Linked DNA regions of Rattus norvegicus. The protein of the gene in region 2 purifies or fractionates together with the protein of the main gene of each other region. This does not show direct contact. Links are inferred from orthologs where the notes say so. Each region holds a gene or a part of one and is shown on either strand. Other genes may lie near its edges.

Region 1 (7,209 bases), on a different chromosome or scaffold from region 2:
CTGCCTTCCAAGGGCTGGAATCTTGAATTCCAAGGGATTAAAGATTATGTGCATGCCACCATGCCTGGCTTATAAAATTATTTTTAATTATATTTATGTGTTCAAATGTGCTTGCAGAAGTCAGAGATGCTGAAGCTTCCAGAGCTGGAGTTAGAGCCAGATGGAAGCCAAGCCACCTGCCCTGAATGCCAAGAACCAAACGAGGATTCTTCATCCACAGTGTGTGCTCTTAACTCCCAGCCCTCCCTAAAAACAGCCAGTCATTCCTTTAAAGCATTACATACAGAAGCAGGAGAATCAGGGTTTGAGGCTATCCTGAGCCATGTAGTGGATTTTAAGCCTCTTTGAGCTACTTTAAAAGCCAAACCAAACCAAAAATGGTTGGGATTGTAGAGATAGCTCAGGGGTTAAGAGCACTGGCTGCTCTTCCAGAAGACCAAGGTTCAGTTCCCAGAACCCACATGGTAGCTCACACTGCCCATAGACTCTAGCTCTAGGGGATCCATTGCCCTTTTCTGACCTCTGTGTATACCAGGCACACACAGTACATACCTACATATGTAGGCAGAACACTCATAAACATAAAAACAAAGGAGGGGGAAAAACAACCAAAACAAACCCAAAAGCCCAACAAAACCCCTAAACAATCCAGAAGACAAAAACCCAAATGGCCTCAAAGCCTTCACATGATCTGCAGCTATTTCTTTTTATGTAGTCCGAATTATCCTGATACCAAAACAGAATAAAGAAAATTATAACCAAGCTCCTTGAAGAAGAGAGAAGAAGAATTCTCAACAACAGAGTTGCAAACTGATTTCAAGAAAACATGGTAAATATCATGAGCAAGCAGGCTTTAATCCTGAGACATAGGGATGATTCACATTTGCTAATCAATAATGGAATTCATTAAGCAATAGACTTAAGACAGAAATCAAATGATCATCTTACTAGATGCAGAAAAGGCTTCTGACAAAATAAAACATCATTTTGTGATAAAAATCCTGCGAGAGATGGAATGTATCCCAACATAACAAAGGCTACAGATGACAGACCTACAGCCAACATCCTATTAACTACAGGAAACTCAGAACTGAAATCAGGAACAAGACTCTCCACTCCCATTCAGTACAGTAAAGTCTCAGCTACAGCAACCAGACAAGAGAGACAAAAACAAAGCACACAACAAGGAAGAAAGCAGCCAGCGGAGCTTACTTGCAGATGAGGCTTTACACTCCAGAAAACCATGGGATTGACAAGCACTTTACACACCAGAAAACCATGGGATTGACAAGCACTTTACACACCAGAAAACCATGGGATTGACAAGCACTTTACACACCAGAAAACCATGGGATTGACAAGCACTTTCAACAAAGAGGCAGAATTAAAAAAAAAAAAATCAACATTCAAAACCCTACAGCCTTTCTCTACACTGCCAGCAAAGAGGCTGAGGAAGAACTCAGAGAAATCATTCCATTCACAATTATTACAAAATAAATCTTCCAGTAAAGCTTTAAAAACAGAAGGAAATTGGTGAAGACCCTACAGGATGGAATGACACCCCCCTCCACCCCCCCAGCTCATGGACTGGAAGAATCAATACTGTGAATTGGCATTACCAAGCAATCCCCCTCAAAATGCACAAGTGTCTCTAATAAGAACAGGCACCCTAGCTCTGTTTTTGAGTAGCCCAGTGGTCACCTCTTCTTTTCCCTCATTCCCTACCACTGTTTAAAGTGAACAAGGGCATTATTTGTTTTATACACTGTCACCATCTCAGACATGCCTGACAATATGCTAATCATGAGTTACTATTTTTTCCAGTGTTTGGGATCAAACTCATGGCTTTATACTCATGGCTTTAGACTTTTCATGGTCTAAGCAAGGGTGTTGAATACATTAAAATGAAACCATTTGGCAAAAAAAGCAGTGGAAAAGTTATTGGGGTGTATATTCAGAATGGAAGCCTATTTCCTCTGTGTAGCATGCATGTGAACAGAGACTGTTGACAGGAGGAAGGACCATCCTGCTTGGAAGTACCCTCTATCTCCCCACCTCTTTTCTCTTCTTTCTTTCCTGATAGGATCTTTCTATGTAGACCAGGCTGACCTCAAACTCCAAAGATTTGCTTGCTTCTTTCTCCTGGGTGCTGGGATTAAAGGTATGTGCTACCATGCCTGGCTTTTTCTAAGAATTTTTAAAAAAAATTATTTATTATATATATGAGTACACTGTCGCTGTCTTCAGACACACCGGAAGAGGGCATCGGATCTCATTACAGATGGCTGTGAGCCACCATGTGGTTGCTGGGAATTGAACTCAGGACCTCTGGAAGAGCAGTCAGTGCTCTTAACCTCTGAGCCATGTCTTCAGCCCCACCAGGCTTTTTCTAAAAATTTTTCAAAAAATTTTTGTGTATGTACCTGTGGAATTTATACTCCAGGTATAATCTGCAGAGGCCAGAAGAGAGCACTGGATCCTGGACCTGGAGTTACAGGTGGCTAGGAGTGGCCTGATGTGGGTGCTGGGAACTACAACTGAGTCCTGTGCAGGAGCAGCAAGCACTCCTAACCACAGAGGCTGTGTTTTCCAGCCTCCATTCTGTTTTTCCCTCGTCCAAGGGGTCTTACTGTGCTGCCCAGGCTGGCTGTCAGCTGCCTCAGCCTCCTGCATGGTTGGGCACACTGCAGCACCTGGCTGTACGATCTTGTTCAGCAGTGCTGTTGGCTTTAATCACCATGTCCTCACCTTCATGTACTTGTTGAAGACACTCTGGATCTCCTCATTGATGCTAGGCTGCAGGACAGCACGGAGGAGATCCATAGAGATGGCTGGATCTGTGAAACTGCATTTGGGGGTGGGGGTGGGGGAGACAGAATCAGGGGAGTGTTCCAAACATACATTCCCAGATTACTCAGCCAGTTGGCGACATGGGATTTTAAATTTTTATTTCATTGTAACTCTGTGAAATGCAAATTATTTTCCAAGTGTTTTTTTTTTTCTTTTCTTTTTTCTTTTTTTCGGAGCTGGGGACCGAACCCAGGGCCTTAAGCGCTCTACCGCTGAGCTAAATCCCCAACCCTTTTCCAAGTGTTTTATGAACTATAACATATACACATATATTTTTTCTTTTCCTTTTTCTGAGACAGTCACACTATGTAGTCTGGCTGTCTCAGAACTCACTATATAGATCAGGCTGGCCTTAAACTCACAGAGGTCCACCTGCCTCTGCCAAGCGCTGTAATTAGTAAATGATTATTAAATCATTAATAAATGATTATCGCTACCCCAGGTCAAAAATACAAGAATTCCAAAGGCTCATACGCAGTTTTTCCCCTTCCCCAGACCGGACACTCACTAGTAGTCCCCTGTCAAAGCTGAGAAAACAGAATCTAAGAAAAGCTAAAGGCTTGCCCGAATGTATCCAGTTAACAAACATCAGAGTCTGCATTAGAACAGATGCCTGAAACTTGAATTCACAGTCTCTGACTTACAGATCTCAATCGCTGAGATGGTACTCGACTTTTTATTCCTTCTCTGCTTTGTAGAGGAGTTAGGGCAATAACTGTCAAGGTTACAGGAAGTTAGAGCACCGGAGTCTCTCTTCCCCCGATTTCTGTGCTCTTTCTACGTGTTGTTGATCTCAAATTCCTGCAGTTGGGGGTCTCAAAGCACTCAAAGTCCACATAACGGATATCGGTCTTACCTTGTGGTCATCTGAGATCGGCGGCCTCTTCGCTGCACCTGCCGGTGTTTGATCATTATGTTCCAAGGGTTCTGTGGGGACCAAGTGGGCAAATGTCACCGAGGCCTCTCAGAGTGAGGATGAGGAGAAAGTGAGTATGGAGCGAAACCTAGACGTTCCTGCTTCTCACTTCTCCCACCTTGGGGTGAAGGGGAATTCAGTGGCTGGAAGACCCTGTCAGGGTGGAGGAACTGGGAAAATGTTTTCTGTCACCAATGTCCAAATCTCGCTTTTTCTGGAAGAGCAGCAGCGTTTACCGAGGGTCTTATGAGGCGGGTGAGTCAGGACGTTCTACCCGCCTTTATCAGCCCATCCCACCACAACTCCATCAAGCTCGGGTTAATGTTGTTCATTTCACAGAAGAGAAACCTGGCGCCCAGAGGGTGTCACATCAGGCCCAAGTCACCTAACTAGACTCTGAATCCGGGTCGTCACACGGAGAAAACGGCACCCCCAGAGCCGCACAGCCGCCGCGTTCTTTCGCCCGCGGGCCCGGGGCCCGGGAGCCCGAGGCCCTGCCCGGCCCGAGCCCCGGCCTCGCCCGGGCGCCCTCACCGTGAGAACCGGCTGGCCCGCCGCGCCCGCGTCGCCCAGCTCCAGGCCGCCTCGCTCCGCCCCGCCGGGGCCCCGCGGCTGCTCGGTGTCGCCAGTCGCCCCCATGGCGCCCCCGGCCCACAACAACCTCAGCTCGACTCAGTCACCGGAAAGCGGCGCCGTGACGTCACGGGAGCGCCCGAGCCACCCGGCCGGAAGCGGGATGCGGGTGCTCCGAGGGTTGCTATGGGAACCGAACTGCCGCCTAGGAGCCGCGTCTGAGTGGTTTTCTCGATCTTTGGTGTAGGGCACGACGTCGGGGCTTCCGGATCTCTGGGAGAAAAACGGCTGGGGACCGAGTGTGGGTGTTCGGGTCCATTCAGTCAAAGGACGAGGGCGGGTGTGAGGGCAGCAGAGCATACAATTCAGCTGGGGAGCATAGGACTTCGGATGAGGGCAGTCCGAAGTTCAGTCTTTGAAAACCGCAGGAACATCTGAAAACTTGGCCCAGCCTCTCCCGAATTGGAATAGTCCGACTCAGGAACCAGGAAAGCCAACAAAAGAAGGGCTGCTGGTGCCACCCGAAATGCCCAAACACCTAAGCACCCTATCACTAGCCTTTGCGGGCTGCCGCTTGTGTCGGAAGGCAGCAGAATGAAGGTTGGGTTTGGGCTTGCAAACTAGTCCTGTTCTGGAGAGCTGACCTTCTCTCCTCTAGATGGTTGATTCTGGGATAGGTAGGGGACAGAGGATTTAACAACTGTGGCGTTCTCCAGAGCCCCCCTTAGCATTGTCTCAGAGGTGAGCTGTCCGTGAAAGAATTGGATTCATTTACGGGTGATGAAGTTACTCTTCTCGGGTTACAATAAGCGGGTAGCGTAACGTGTACGAGTTTTGTGTGAGGAAAGATCTAGATTCAAATCTGATGTGATATGATCATAAATGCTGGATAGGGCCTGGTGTGATAACATAACCCCAACACTGAGGAACAAGTAGTAGAAAGCTCACTCTGTGCAGCATAGCAAGATACTGTCTCAAAGTCAAAGCCTAAGAACATTGGCTGCGGGACTGGATCACCTACCGTTGTTCTCCTGCGTACTCACTCATTGCACGATCATTCTTCCACAGTCTCAAATGTTCCAGGCTGGACTCAAATTCACCGTGTAGCTAAGGAGCGGCCTTCACCTCCACAGTATGCCGCACCATGTTTGGTTTATGTGGTGCTGGGAATTGACCCCAGAGTCACATGGTTGATATTAGGGCTGGGTTATTTTATACAAAGCACTTAAAACTACGGTACAAGCAACTCCTTAGATTATTCTAATACAATAGTAATTTTCAGCCTCCACTTAAGGACGTTTTCCTTTGAAATATTATTGTGTGGGTTAAAGTACTGTACATAAAGTCCGTATTAGATAATAACAATACCAGTTTTTTCCATGTTCCAACATCCACTTTTTAAAAGGTTTATGTGTACAAGTGTTTTGCTAGTGTGTGCGTATTATGTACATATGTATCTACGTACATACATCATGTATGTGCCTGGTGTCCGCAGAGGTCAGAAGAGGGTATTGGATCCTTTGGAAATAGAGTTATGGATAATTGTAAACTTCCGTGTGGGTGCTGGGAACTGAACCCTGGTCTTCTACAAGAACAACACAGGCTCCCTGAGTTCTGAGCCATCTTTCTAGCCCCAACACCCACCTTTTAACAAGGGCACTTCCTTGCTTTAAATGATGGTGGCTCCCCACCTCCCACACCCTGGGCAAGAGCCTACTCTGTAGCTCTAGGCTGGCCTTGAACTTTGGCTCAAGCCGGTTTTGTAATTTACCTGCCTTTCTCTGCCTCCCAGAGCCTGGAATCACAAGTAAACCCTACCATGCCTGGTTTTGGATCTATGAAGATTTTTTTGTTATTTTGTTTCTACCTATACTCTGCCCCTAACCTTATTGGGCTCGGCAGTGTCAGTGGACACCATTAGACATCAAAGCCAACCGAGGACACACGCTATGCAAATAAGAAGAAACAGGGGAAAAGGAGACAAAGGAGACATGTGAAAGAGTCACAGCAGCTGTCCTCTCTGAGTTTGATGACTGCCCTTCATTTTGTCTAAGAGTGGCATGTGTGGTCTTATGGGGACCAAGCTGCAAACTTTTTGTGCTCTTGTATCGATGCTGAGACACTCTGATGCTGCTTTCCCATGGGTTGTGACAGTTCCCAGAGATGGACAGGAATCGTGCTTAAGTTATATCCTTAGCTCGGCTATTTTCTTCTCAGGTTGTCCATCCAGTTCTTCCCTCTGTCTAGAGGCCCTTCTAGATCCTGTGGACGGAACAAGGAACACAGAGCTTTTTGTTCCCTGTCAGGGTCATTCTTGGCAAAGCCAGCAGTGGACTGGTGCCAGGGCTCTGGGGGGCTGAGACCAGGTTTCCATGTAAGCTGTGGTTAACTGTTCCAGACCCTGAGGTATGGAATGCTTGCTTACCGTACCAGAATACACCTTGCAAAAAAGAAGCTAGAGCTCCCTGCAGTCCTGCTGATTTCCCTGTAACCTTGCTGATTCGTATTCTGCTGCTCCATCCGAGGCTGTGTAAAGAACTGTGAGGATAATCAACTTGCTGGCTTGAGTCATCAGCCCTCGGCCCCTCACACCCCCAAGCCCCAGCTGTGGACTGTTCATTTTTCTCATCTCTGGTCCTCTCCCTCAGAATCCCAGTGTGAACCCAGCAAGAACTGCTGGTCTGGTTCACCCTCTGTTGTTTTGACTGCAACTGAATCCTTCCAAAGCCCTTCTGGTCTCTCTTTGACCTTTAACCCAGAGGCTACCTCTCCATTTTTCCAGCCTCCCAGGGGACCTCATCACTTGTTATGTATATGCGTACATAACAAGTGTTATGTAGATATCGACATAACAAGTGCTATGTGTATGT
Region 2 (6,522 bases):
TACACATGTTCCATTCCCTTTTCGAGAGCATGAGAAAGACCAGTGTACTGGGTCTCTGACAGCCTGGCCTCCATGCCCTGGCATTGCTATTCTGCCCAAATCACTTCCTGCAGATTAAGATGTGACTTTAAGTGACAATGTTTCTTGGTGAATTTGTTCAGAAACTGGGCACTTTTTCTTTAGGGTACAATAAATGATTGGTTCTCAATTTGGGGGTTTGGGGTTTGGTTTGGGTTTGGTTTGTTTTTTGTGGTAGGGGGGTCATCTTTTACTTTGCCCAATCAGACACGCTCAGCGAGAGAGACATTCTTAATGACTTCTTTAAAAAAACTCATCAAAGAAAGCATGATTGATGGCTTATTCCATGCCTAGCAATGAAGCCTGGGTTCAGTAAATCAGAAATAGATTTTTTTGTAATGCAATAAAAAGGACCCATGAGCTGAACAAAGAGAGGGCATCTAAAGCCACTGTGATGGAATAAAGGCCCTTGGTTTGGAGGGCTGTGGACCATAGCCTAGTACCTCAGTGCCTCTGGATAGAGGATAATTTGGTCCTACAATAACATTTTTTTTAGGACTGGGAAGGCAGGACCTGCATCTGGTGGGTAGGGGCCACAGAGGCCTCTACAAACTTGCTGTGCACAGGACAGTCACCACCTGTCCAGCCCCAAGTATCCTTAGAGCTGAGGCCAAGAAGCCCAGCTCTGTGCCAATATTTGAATCTAATCAGGCATGGTGGCAGACACCCGTACTCCCAGCACGTGGGAGAAGAAGGCAGGAGAAGATGCACTCTGGCTATTCAGTGAGGTGAAGGCCAGCCTGGAGCACAGGTTAGACTAACTCAATGAAGTCATTGGTCTGCATATTCACAGCCAGCCATAGTGATAAGACTTGTAAATCTAGTACTGGGGAGACAGAGGCAGGAGGATTGCCTCGTGTTTAAAACTACAGTTTAGGGCTGGAGAGATGGCTCAGTGGTTAAGAGCACTGACTGCTCTTCCTGAAGTCCTGAGTTCAATTCCCAGCAACCACATGGTGGCTCACAACCATCTGTAAAGAGATCCGATGCCCTCTTCTGGTGTATCTGAAGATAGCCACAGTGTACTTATATAGAATAAATGAATAAATCTTAAAAAAAAAAAAAAAAAACACTACAGTTTAAACTGTATACATGGGTTGGGGATTTAGCTCAGTGGTAGAGCGCTTGCCTAGCAAACACAAGGCCCTGGGTTCGGTCCCCAGCTCCGAAAAAAAGAAAGAGAAAAAAAATAAATCTTAAACTGTATACATAAACTGTGTATAGTAAGTTCCAGGCCAGCCAGGTCTGCAGAATGACACCCTGTCCCCCAAACTATGAGAAAGCCTGGCCCTTTGATTCTCTTAAAGTTTGGGGGTCTTAAACATTGTGGCTTCTGCAGTGTACACGGACTGCAGAGAACATTCATCTAGCAAGCATAAGTAAGACCCAGGTTCAATCCCCAGCATCACAGAAAGCAACCAGACTTAAAACAAGAGCTACCGAGGGGCCCTCTAACTCCTCTCATTTTGCACATAGGGAAAAAAAGAAGTATTTGAAAATCGAGTGGTTTAATGGCCTCTGATATTTGCAACAGGGTTTCAAGTTAGAGCTGGGTGCTAACTGGCTTTGAGACAAGAGCTTTGTCCTTGGTACTAAGCCTCTCGGCCTTTTGCTCTGGTTAGGCCAGTGAAGGAAGTCTTATTGGCACAGTTTGTGGTTGGGGTATCTGAGCTTTGCTTTCTGTGGCACACACCCAGTGCTTGCTTGTGTGAGCCCTGTGCTGTTTCATGTATCCCATGTTTTGCCACCAAGTAACTAACAACCCTAATTTCCTTTTCAGGACTGTAGATGTCATGTCGCTCCCTTTCTTCCTCAGGTGTTCAGCTCCCGACAGGCACTGAATGGCCACGCCCGCATCCATGGCGGCACCAACCAGGTGGCTAAGACCCGAGGTGCTGTCCCCTCTGGGAAGCAGAAGCCAGGTGGCACCCAGAGTGGGTATTGCTCAGTGAAGAGTTCACCATCTCACAGTACCACCAGTGGAGAGACCGACCCCACCACCATCTTCCCCTGCAAGGAGTGTGGCAAGTAAGTACACTTGAACTGGGTATCAAACCCAAGGTCAAAGTGAATGATGGTTCTGTGGGGGCTGTTTTCTTCAGCTGACTTTCAGGACTCCCCTTGATACTACCCGGGAGGTCTGCAGATAGATCTTTTCACTCCCTCTATCCATTCCTCTGCCCACAGCAGACATTACTAATCAATTACCGCATTCTCTAACATCACATCACATTAAAATGCAGCATCCTATCCTTCACATCATAATGATGCATGGTGGCACATCTAGTTGATTGAAGCCCAGGCATTGAGATAAAACCTGCTTTTCATCCTTGTCCCTTTAGATATACCTTAAAACAGCACCTAAGGGAAGAAGCTAACAGTAGGTGAGAAGAGCAATAGCTTTTACTCCACCACATACTTCATGTGTGTGACTTCACTCAATCCTCACAGGGAAAAACTCCATCCAACGCAAGTTGCCTTCATTCTTAGTTTACAAATAAAGATTTTAAGGTCAGGTAAAATGGCTTTTCCCAAGTCACACTTGCCAGGAAAGCAAAGCTGAGATTTAAACCTCGCTATGTCCAGATGCAGCGCCTGGCCTCTCCACGCTGCTCCAGCTTTCTGCCTGGTTTTGATTAGCTACATTGCAAAGAGCCTAACTAGTGTTAAAATACATGGCTCCTTCACAGCTTCCTTCCCCGTCAGTCCGCCTAGCCCCAAGGCCATAGCAATCTCACACACTTCACCTTCATCGTTTGCGATTAAAGATGAGTGCTAAGGGCTGAACCACACCACAACTCAAAAGAGGTTTCTTTGGGGTTGGGGGTTTAGCTCAGTGGTAGAGCGTTTGCCTAGCAAGAGCAAGGCCCTGGGTTCGGGCCCCAGCTCCAAAAAAAAGAAAAGAAAAGGAAAAAAAGAGGGTTTTTTTTTCCAGTGAATCTCAGGGCTCACGGTGTGATCAAACACCCTACAACAGAGATGGGTAGCTGTTCTTTGCTACTCTGTGGGTTCTTCTTTTTCCTGCTCCTATCCCCTCCCCCTTCATCTTCTATCACTAAATCGGAGAGAAAGGAAGGTAGAGAAGAGAAAGAGAGAAAGATCCCTGAATCTAATTTCTTTCTTGTTATTTCTTCTTTGAACATGACTAACATACCACAAGCTACCCCCCTGCTGAGTGACCAACAACCCCCAACCCCATCTCTGGGAGCCCTGGCATTTATACCTTCTGAAAGTTCAGAAACAATGTCAGAAACTGTCTGCAGCTGGCAAAACCACCCCTCTGCCAGAGCAGGAGACAAATCACAGGCAGCAGCCGCAGACAGTCCCAGGCAGCCCCACAGCCCCACCCTGGGATTAAAACGAAAACATATCCTTATAATATTTTTGTGTTTAAAAAAAATTCTAGAATTCTCACTACAGACATGGCTTAGCAGTTGGGAACATCGGTTGCTCTTACAGAGGACCTGGGCTTGCTTCTAGCACCCACATGGTAACGAACAACCGTCTGTGATTCCAGTGCCGGGAGATCTGACGCTGTCTTCTAGCTTCCACAGATGCTGCTCAGAATTACATGCAGGCAGGCTCCCGCTCATATAAAAAATAACAACCAAATAAAAAGAACAACTGTGATAGTAAAATAGTAATAATAATGTATCAGGCAACTTCATGGCATTCAGCAGGGTCCTCCCTGCCTTTGCCTGAGACGGTTTTAAATGGTGTCTTATACTCTCCATTCATTTACTCTTTAGAATAGCCCTGTGAGGGGGTGACGAGACAGCTCAGCACACAGTACCTGCCACTTGCCGACAAGTCCAGATCCCACCTGGGAGATTCGTGACTTCAGAAAGTTGTCCCCTGACTTCCACGTATACAGACATCATGGGAGTGTGTACGCCCATGTGCACACATGCTGATGTGCACACACAATTACAGAAACTGAGGCAGAGGGAAGTTAGGCCTGCAGCTAGGCTGACCTGCGGATGAGCCTCTTATTTAGCCTTCAAAACACTCAGGCTGGCCTGGCCTCTTATGATTCAGCCACTGGGCTGCATTGCCCCTCACACTTAGAGAGAAGAGTGACCTGCAGGCACCCTACTCTGACAAGGAAGCAGCCGAGGCTCAGCTGTCACCCCCTGTTGTCCTGGAAACATCAAGGCCTTGCCAGGCTCCTCTGAAAAGGAAGCAAGAGCCTTCTCTGTAGGAGCGGGATTCTCTGTAGTCCACCAGGTGGAGACGAAGGCCTCCTCAGGCAAAATCTCCACAGGCTGACGGTCCCAAATCTTAAAATCCAAAACTTGGCGAGCAAGCACTTGACACTGCAGATGAAAAGTTCTACACTGGGAAACTTTGTTCTGCTCAGAAAATGAGTGAAAGCCACTCAGTGCTGAGGCAGTGTGCACACCTGTGTCTCCCACACACGTCTGGGGGCTGATGGGAAAGGGTCACAAGTTCAAAGGCAGCCTGGGCTATCTAATGAGAGCCTGTCTCAGATGACACATGAATGGGTGAATAGATGGACGGACGGACGGATGGACGGACGGATGGACATGGGGACTGACGGGAAATGATCACAAGTTCAAAGGCAACTTGAGCTATCTTGCAAGAGCCTGTCTCAGATGATGGATGGGTGTCTCAGATAGTGGATGGATGGATGGACGGACAGATGTAATTGAATTATTTATTCTAGCTAGCTTGTATAAAAGCCATAACAACCTGATATTTTATTTACAAGCCTAGATTGAGTAGGTTCTGTGCCATTCTCACCTGTACCCGAACCGTACGTCCCTGTTAACTTGCTCTTTGAGTCTCACCCGAGCTGCTCCTGCCCCCTCAGCCTGTCCTCAGGGTATACTTTTCCTGGCCAGGGGCTCATGAGCCATCTGATCTCCTGGCAGCCACCTTTTCTCTCCGACCTCTCTCTCCTCCTCTGTCCACAGTGGTCACTACCTGCAGCCCCTAGCCTGGTAACTGATTACCTCTATTCTATACCGCCCACCAGTAACTGTCAGCCACTTCTATTTAACCAGTCAGAGAAGATTGGTGAGCAAACTTTACACAACATGGGAAGTGCTTGTCTGGACTGCAACCAGATCCTGGGAGCCAGTATTTAGCATTCGAATACCAGACCAACCCCCAGCAGATACATACATACATACATACATACATACATACATACATACATACATACATACATACAATGGAAACAGGAGAACCCAGAGTTTAGGGGCATCCTTGGCTATATGGAGTTGAAGGCTAGCCTGAGCTACAAGAGAGCCTGTCTTAAAAGTGGGGGTAAAGCAGTGAGCCTCATGCTTAGCCTTGGGTCCCGTCTGCAGGAAGTTTCACTGTGTGTACAGATCTATAGCGTCTGATCGCTGTGGACCAGAGGGCACTTGCCTCAGGTTTCATGTTCCCGGCTGTCCTTCAAAAGCACACAGCAGGGTTGGGGATTTAGCTCAGTGGTAGAGTGCTTGCCTAGCAAGCGCAAGGCCCTGGGTTCGGTCCCCAGCTCTGGAAGAAAAAAAAAAAAGAAAAAGAAAAAAAGAAAAAGCACACAGCAAGCATTTTTCTCGTCCCTGTACTCGAGATCTTTTCTTTCTTTTGGCTTTATTTGTTATTAGTGTACATATGTGCCCACGTACATGGCAGGACACACATGGGAGGCCAGGGGACAGCTCTGTAGGGTCAGTTCTCTCCATCTATCTGTGGGCCCTGGGGCGCGGGGAAGAACTGAAGGTGGCCAGGCTTTCTCTGCAGACGCTCTCCCCAGCCCTCACCTGCCCCTCCCCAGGTCATTCCCTAGCAAAGTCCAAGCAAGACTTTTATGAAAACTAGACATGTTTCCTGAGGTTTTCCAGAGAGGAACAGCACTGAACAAGTCCACGACAGCCTCTTTCGGCTGCTCAATCCTCTTCATTTCCCACATGTCCAGATAGAAGCCAGCCTCAGGCTGTAGGGCTCAGGCTGGGTCGCTGGACTGGTTGGAGAGTGACTAAATTGTATTTATGCTATTCTTTCTCCATAAACCCGGGTTCGTATCTGGGCTGACTTTCCTGAAAATGGCCGAGATAGCAAATAGGTAGAATGTGCAGGCCATGCTCTCTCTCACCACCTCACTTTCCCATCACATCCCAAAAACAGTAGGGGGAAAAAAACTCAACAAACAGACATAGTTGTGTGCCAGTGCCTAGAATAATAAGGGGGCCGGACCCTTGATCTAAAGACTCTGGCATCCTTCGATCCCAGGACTGCAGGTCATTGACATGTTGGCTCACATGATTTCTTGCCTGGAGGTGGGAGAGAGGACCGGCCTTTACAATAAGGCTTTTAATCGCATCCTTGGCCTTGGCTCATGCTAGACAGACACCTCCTAACTTGGTTACAACAAATATGTCTCCCGACTTTGCCAGCTGCTTTCTGTGAGGGTGCAGCCTCTCTGAGCCC

Evidence for each region.
Region 1: the proteins of Trerf1 (region 2) and Dnttip1 purify together in Homo sapiens (affinity purification with mass spectrometry; 3 studies listed by BioGRID and IntAct, with this or other methods). This does not show direct contact. The link is inferred for Rattus norvegicus from reciprocal best matches to the Homo sapiens genes TRERF1 and DNTTIP1.

The regions. Positions count from the first base shown.
Region 1 is NC_086021.1:173,898,340-173,905,548, reverse strand, and holds the start of Dnttip1 (deoxynucleotidyltransferase terminal-interacting protein 1), read right to left. Parts: upstream 4,459-7,209; 5' UTR 4,406-4,458; coding exon 4,301-4,405; intron 4,234-4,300; exon of another isoform or gene 4,152-4,233; intron 3,778-4,151; coding exon 3,707-3,777; intron 2,846-3,706; coding exon 2,749-2,845; intron 1-2,748. UniProt on the Homo sapiens protein: Increases DNTT terminal deoxynucleotidyltransferase activity (in vitro). Also acts as a transcriptional regulator, binding to the consensus sequence 5'-GNTGCATG-3' following an AT-tract.
Region 2 is NC_086027.1:21,132,883-21,139,404, reverse strand, and holds part of Trerf1 (transcriptional-regulating factor 1), read left to right. Parts: intron 1-1,858; coding exon of another isoform or gene 1,859-1,894; coding exon 1,895-2,106; intron 2,107-6,522.